Linked DNA regions of Neodiprion lecontei. The protein of the gene in region 2 interacts with the protein of the main gene of each other region in a biochemical or structural test. Links are inferred from orthologs where the notes say so. Each region holds a gene or a part of one and is shown on either strand. Other genes may lie near its edges. The genes, in order: tubulin-specific chaperone D and ADP-ribosylation factor-like protein 2.

Region 1 (3,935 bases), on a different chromosome or scaffold from region 2:
CAATGCGATTTACCTCTCGATCGAAAACGGCTACAATAAGCAGAGTAGCAGCAATCTGATTTACATAAGGTAATAGTACTCTAGATTCAAATGCTCTTGCGAACGACCAACAAACATAGCATGCTGCATCTCTGATTATCGATCCTACAGAACCGTAAGCTCGAGGTTCATCAAATACCAATGCTTGAAGAACCAAAGGAATAACATCTCCTAATCTATGAGGTAATAGTAATCCTCTTCGCCCTGCCAGACACAATGAGTAGTAAGAGTCATACCTTGCATAGAAAAATCACTGTCATGTCCACCATAATTAAGCTAATATCCGAATGATTTACAATGTACAGAATACTGAAAGACAGTTTAACTCAATTTATCATGCTGCTTTTACCTAATTCAGCTAATGCTAGACAACCACCATGCCAGGCCGTATCTGATTCACGTCCAGAAAACAAATTCAGTACAAATCCAACCACTTCATCAGCTAGATCAATTGGCAAGCGAGCTGTTACTCGCCCGATCCCTTTGGCTGCAGACCATCTGATAAGTTATTTAAATGCGCAATTGTAATGAGTAGTACTACCCATAAGATATGCTTATGTAGGTATAAAGCCCATGAATTTAAAGCAGACTTGACATTTGTTCTAAAGACATCCTGTGCATGAAAATTTACCTGATGGTAATACTTTTGTCGCGAAGACCTTGTATCAGCTGCTCAATAATTTCTTCTGTTGCTGGAGGAATATCATGGTCTTCAGTCTCTTGGGAGGATATTTCATTTGTGTCCCCTACACTCATGGCTGTTAGATTCTTTTTATTCTCAGGTAGCAAGCTTATTGTCTTGCTTGCTCTCTGATACCTCCAATCAGCTACTTTAGCTCGTAGGAGAACAAATCCTGATTTCGAATATTACGAAGAAGAGATAAGATTATTGAATGCAATTTGAATACGAAGCTGTATTATTTATGTTCATTTACTTACCAATGCGCTGTATTACTTTCAGAGCAAATTTTCTAACGAGAGCGTCTGGATTATCGCTCAAATTCATTTTCATAATTTTATCTAATAGCATTTGACTATATGGCTTCAGATCTTCTCGAGCACAATGTTTCAATATTGAGGAAAGTATTGCCAAAGCACCGTGAGTTGTAGAATTAACTTCCAAACACTGATAAAAATGTTATCGTTAGCAAAACAACAAATTCGAAACAAGTTTTGTATCAAAATTGAAATTGATAATACATACGAATATAGATCAATTAAACCTTAAACTTTTCAATAGTCACCTGGCAGCACCATGTGATAATTTCTTCAAGATACAATTTCTTAACATCTGAACGATTCAGAAAATTCGCAATCAAAAATACTGCCGCCACTGAACAAACATCTTTTGATAGGCAATACAGTTTGCATAACTTCAATATCCTGAAAAGTACTTAATAACTTTGATGTTCGACAGATTTTACTCGATGTAAAATATGTTTTATTAATCAGTTATGTTGATTATTGCAGAGACACGACACAACTGAAAACTTTATCATTTTTAATATGGAACTCTGTAATACCTATTTGTTATCATATCCTCAGGTTTGATATCATTCGATGTTTCCAATCGAGATAAAGGAAAAGGTATTTTAGAAATAATAGATAGCCAAACAAGAAGTACATAACGTGTTTCCCAAGTAAGCGAATCATTTGGGTCTTGCTTTTCCAACATACGCAGAACCGGCACAAGATCCATTACCTAAGTCAAATGTAAGTTGTATTACATCAGAGAACCGAATTCAACAAGTTTAACAAGTGTCGAGGTAACTAGCATAATAATAAAATAAATATTTTGCGAAAATTGTGATATACCAAAGCTTACCTCGTGAGGAAGATGAGAGGCAATTTTCTTATATGTTTTGACAGACATGATGATGAATATGTATTTGAAGACATTGTGTTTTACACCATCAGAAATATTGTCGTCTCTAACGATGGTCAACATCGAACCTAGGATATCGTCCAGGTATGGATCCAGCAAATGCGGTTGATCTTGGTATTGAGACAAAATAAAGGTAAAACGCTCATGATTTCTTTCAATCTGTGCCGGAGTTAAATCCGAATCTCGCAACTTTCCAACCAGTCCTGTGACTTCGTCTATTTCTTTGATCATGTTATATCCACAGCCCATGCTTTCAGGATCAGGTCCATCGTTGAGGACCATTTTGTTTATATGGCTACTATCGTAGAAGGAATGGCCTGTTGAATGAGTAGATAACAATATGATATTCCTTTTCAATCGTGTAATGTTGTAAGCTCCATTTACGGTGAATAATCCAATGTCGTTTACTACAAAGCCGTTTGTTCAAGCAGATAGGATATTTTGACAGTTGACAGATAGCAAAGTGTTCTAAAACATGAAAAACCGTACTCATCATGACAAGTTAGTCGCGACTGGTCCGAATGATATTCGAGGCTACCATCTAACTATATAGTGGTCTAACCTCATCTGCGCAACGCTTGGATCGTCCATAGACCATGTATTTGCGCACGTATTAAAATTTACGTTTATACAATCACCTGAATTTACTCCTACTTACATCGTAAGAAAAAGATTTCAAGTAATAAAGGAGAAAACTAATCTTAATGCTGAAAATGGATCTTAAAAGTACATCAACGAACAATAAATTTGATTTATTTGTGAGGTATCATTCTCCATTGTTAAACATTGTTCTAGACGCAGATAAATTTTTAATATTTTTGTAAATTACTGTTGATAAATTAGCCAACGAAATTTGGCGAAGGCAAAATTTTCTCTAGGTGTAATCACAGTCAGCTGAGCTAAGTATACAAGACCTTGAAATCGCTATGAGCGAACAGATTTCAGATAAAGCTAGAAAATATTACATCACCAAAAATTTTTATAAAAACTAATATCAAAGTTGGCGAATAGCAGAACTTCTCTAATTAAATAAAATTGAATTGACCATTATATTGTGAAGCCTAGTGCTATTATTTGTGTCAAAGTTAAATATTATCAGTATCCCATTGCGATCTAGTCCAGTTAGATTTGGTATGTGAAAACAATCCAGTTAATCTCTAGTAATCCCATGAAAAAATATGTCCAAGTTGCGATCCTCAGAAGGAAGGGCACACTGAGTGCTTGATCTGAAATATAGAAATATATCAGTAACAATTAACAACACAGGTGGTTTTGGATTCCCAAAAAATTACAACTGAATTACCCATTATGCCAGTTTCTCCTTGATCAGTACGAATCTTCCCACCAACTCGGCTTGCAGTCCTATATCATCATTACACTGCAATGGTAAAGGTTCCCCTTCCGTTTTTTCTCAGGAAGTAACGGCATAGACCTTCTTCCAGTGAGTAGATCCAGACAAGTGGTACAATAATAAATCCAGCAATCTACGCCGCAACCTTCTCAGGATATTACAAGATGGACCAGTTTTTGCTGGCGACATAATCATGATCTCCCAAAAAATGCGCCACTTGGTTCGAGTGATTTTTAGGCAAACATTCTTTCTTTTCAGGCAAGTCTGAGTGCCCACACTAAGTATTCAAATAAAATGTTATTTTCAAACCCACATATCACATCTTATTTTTTAACAGCCTCAAATACTGTGCAGCGACTTACCAATCGAATCGCTGCAGAATCTCTTGTCACGATCCTGTTTTTCAAAAACTTAACAACAGTCTTAAGGTCTGTTACTCGCTTCTCTAGTCTTCTATTGCGCTGTTGCAGCACCTTCATGTTCCTTCTCATTTTTTTAATATAATTGTTGAGAGCGATCCAGTTTTTGGAATCCTGCTTCACATTATTGGAATTCAATTGTTTAAAGTCTCCAGGGTAAACTAGGCGAGGCTGTTTTGGAATTGAAGTTAAGTCAGTTTGTATTGACTCCATATTGTAGACTCTATAAACACAACATATT
Region 2 (3,725 bases):
TTAAAGGATGAGAATATTTATGTATCCTGTGTTTTTGTGAAATATTTTTGTATAAGCCGATTATAATAATATGCATACATTTTTCATCAGAGAAGGTATTTTGTGGGTAATGACCACATTTACGTACTTGGCGAAAGTGCTTTTTGGGGGGATAATAATATATAACACTGCATTATCCATCTGGGTACACACGTCGAGTGATGGTAACATTAGTGCTTGTCGTCTTTACGTACCGATCGCTTACCGACTTGAGTTGCGCGACGCAGAGAGCGCTGCTTGAAACATAAAGTTCAGTGTGAATTTCTCTCGTACATTTTCGGTTACGGAATAACGGAAAGCCCCACTAGGCCAACAGTCTTTATAGATCTTCAGTCAACGGCGTGAACGCGCTATACAAGATAATTCCACAGAGTCCAATAGAGTAACAGACACTTGATATCGCCATCAGCTCCTTGTTTTGAACCACGAAATGTTCTTGTATATTCTTCTAATATTAGAAGAATTTCTGGGCTAACAATAATTGATTTGCGTTATTTCAAATGGGTCCAGGATCAGACGAAGCATTTTTCTTTCAGGTAAACAGGCACGCGTGCAGACACACAGCATCGACAACGCGAGCAAATGAACCAATCAATTCCTATTTTAGTGCCACCTCCTGTGCTCAGATATTCTCCTGATAGCGGGGGCAGTTTTCAATCAACTTCAGCAGCTGTGCGAGTCTTCTTGCAATCCTTCAGACTTGATTTCAGTAGATCACGTTGACGTCATATTGCAAAAGGAAACGATCCGATCGGACATCGTCTTATGGTGGTGATCAGACAACCCGTTTAAGATGCTCCAGTCCAAAGGCGAATTTCGATGCTTGTCACTGATCTGATTATTAATCAGACTCATTAATCATCCTCAGCATCTGTAACTACCGTGAGCGTTCGTTTTCAGTTATAGTCAATCATAAGGGACGAAAGATTTAAGGATCTTCATGTGTGATATAGTGTAAACGACATAGATAAAAAAAAATTATTGGGGGAGAACTATTCGATTGCTGACTCAAAAATTATGAAAAGGCTTACGTCAAAGGGTAATAAGACTGAATACTGACTGCTCAGTTCACGGACTGTGAGTCACCACAATATTTTACTGAAGTGTTAGAGTTTTCATCAGCCTTATGAAACTCCGCGTTTTAGAGAAATTGAATGGTAAGTTACCGACAGTTTGAAGAATAGCCACTAAGTGAATATTTGGCAATGCGGCACAGTCACCTGACATTCTGACATTAAATTATTAATTATCGTTTTATATTTAGCGCTTTAGACATAGATAAAAGTCTAGTGTTACACTCAATAATGTCCTCTTTCACTAGTAAACACTATGAAATTGGTGAGATTACTGACTAGCACTTCACCTACTTAGCGTCCCCAACAGGCGAAAAAAATAATCTAGTACCGGATTTCGTCAATCCAATGCTCTACTAGCTTTGAAACGATGGCTAAGTTTAAGAATTGTAAACTGAGAAAAGGCCGAGCGTGTAATGTGTTCTCAGTCATCAATGGGCATTTCGCGAAAGTAAATATTCTCTACATTATCGACAGTTTTTTGTAATGGGAAGCTGGAGGCAAAGCGGTTGCCGACATGCGCCTACAACTGGAAATTAGTTCCGAAAACCCAGTTCGTCTCGAAAGGCGCTAGTAATCGAAGAAAGCGAAAAACGTGACCCTCGGTTCTCTCATTGTCTGCAAAGCAAACGTCAACCGCGTGCCGAAATTTGAATTGTCAGTGTCAGCTGACGTTTGAAATTACCACATTAAATCACAGCTTTATCTCGGAAAAGTAATATCGGTAACATGGGGCTGTTAACAGTTCTCAAAAAGTTAAAGCAGAAGGAAAAGGAAGTTAGAATACTGATGCTGTAGGTATTTTAAAGTTGTCCGACGTAGATCGTTTTTGAGGTTATATGCTCCTGTACTCCATTCCAAATTTCCGTATTAGGAAATAAGACGACTCGAGAAGTTTGCATAAAACTCAATATTCAGGACATCGACATTTATTGCAACGTCTGATACTGAATATCCGTTTTCTAGGGGATTGGACAATGCAGGGAAAACTACGATACTGAAAAGAATAATCGGAGAACCAATAGACACAATTTCTCCCACACTTGGATTCAATATCAAAACACTGGAGCACCGAGGCTACAAACTGAATATATGGGACGTCGGAGGGCAAAAATCCCTCCGTTCTTATTGGCGTAATTATTTTGAATGCACGGATGGTTTGATATGGGTTGTCGACAGCGCCGATAAGAGACGCTTAGAAGACTGCAAGGCTGAGCTGGTGAAACTTCTACAAGAAGAGAGACTGGAAGGTGCCAGTCTGCTGATATTCGCCAACAAACAGGATCTTCCAGGAGCTCTTTCAGCTCCTGAAATTGCCGAAGTGCTCGACTTGTCGTCTATAAAATCCCATCATTGGCAGATCTACAAATGCTCAGCTGTCACGGCCGAAAATTTGCTTGAAGGAATAAACTGGATAATCGATGACATTGCAGCTCGGATATTCTACCTTGATTAATACCACATTATGGTCATAGCATTTAGATATCTGTATTTATTGTGAGCAAATTTTTTCATATATTCTGCTGAAAAATTCACCGGCTGAAACAATTAGTCGAAGAGAACAAGAAAAATATAACGGAATTGCAAAATTTTTCCGTTTGTACTTTGTAATATTATTACGATACATTAATTGATCTCTGATATGGCTTAATAAGTATATCTATCAAAAATGGATGATATGTTTATAAGATTTTTTTTGTTACCAAACATACAGCCATTTCATGCTCGACCTTTTATTATTTTACGATTGCAATCAATTTTGGAGGGCTGTTCGTTTGAACATCACTGTTATAATTATCTGTAAGTACGTTTTTTACAAGCTCTCCACAAAACTGTATAAATTAGAGGTACGCAATATACGCAAGATCGATTTTTACGTTTATAGGCTTAGTCTTAGTATGGACTGACTAGGCATAACACTGCTAGCTTTTGTATTATGCTTACACTATTCCAATTATTCCATGTATTAATTCGATTTAAATAATAATACTTACAATTTTTTACTGCAAAGATTCTTTCTCGTTATCATATATACACACGTGCGTTCACTTTACTTGAATGGAATTGATATTACAACGACGAATTTTCGTTTCCTTATAATAGCCAGAACACCGCATTCAAAAGTTGATAAAAGTTGATAAAAGTAAAATTGCAGTATTTCTGGATATTAATTGATATAAATATCTTGCTTCTATTCACTTTTACAGTTGCTATAATCTAGATATAAAGCAGAAAACGGCCGCGGATTGATTTTGGGATCAAAACTTGTTCTACCGAGTAAATCGCCAATATTAACTTATCGATGGGCAACATGACAATGAGATCATCTTAGGCACCACCTAGTGAAATTTATGCAAATCCCTGGTCTCTGATATTCTAACATAAAGTTTGCGACAAAGAAAATATTACACGAAATACCGAGGATATGATCTCCCTGCACCATGATTCCACCGTCTAGTTTCACCACAACAAATAAACAGTCTCGATTTTTCAGTTGTCAATTAGTGCCGAGACTTAGATATTGGCTATAATCAAATATTGTTGGTTATTTTTCATTTTTCTACGAATTAATGCAGATATTAGACCACCATACCTATCTGTCTCCGTATTCTT

Evidence for each region.
Region 1: the proteins of ADP-ribosylation factor-like protein 2 (region 2) and tubulin-specific chaperone D form a complex in vitro, tested with the Homo sapiens proteins (2 studies listed by BioGRID and IntAct). The link is inferred for Neodiprion lecontei from reciprocal best matches to the Homo sapiens genes ARL2 and TBCD.

Annotation. Positions count from the first base shown.
Region 1 is NC_060260.1:5,329,339-5,333,273, reverse strand, and holds the start of tubulin-specific chaperone D, read right to left. Parts: upstream 2,412-3,935; 5' UTR 2,207-2,411; coding exon 1,865-2,206; intron 1,742-1,864; coding exon 1,563-1,741; intron 1,423-1,562; coding exon 1,284-1,422; intron 1,166-1,283; coding exon 979-1,165; intron 894-978; coding exon 671-893; intron 538-670; coding exon 389-537; intron 244-388; coding exon 14-243; intron 1-13. Other genes in the region: uncharacterized protein LOC107223765, read right to left, coding at 3,433-3,552, 3,638-3,917.
Region 2 is NC_060261.1:42,485,228-42,488,952, reverse strand, and holds ADP-ribosylation factor-like protein 2, read left to right. Parts: upstream 1-1,713; 5' UTR 1,714-1,841; coding exon 1,842-1,906; intron 1,907-2,078; coding exon 2,079-2,568; 3' UTR 2,569-3,132; downstream 3,133-3,725. Other genes in the region: uncharacterized protein LOC124293034, read right to left, coding at 3,706-3,725. UniProt on the Homo sapiens protein: Small GTP-binding protein which cycles between an inactive GDP-bound and an active GTP-bound form, and the rate of cycling is regulated by guanine nucleotide exchange factors (GEF) and GTPase-activating proteins (GAP).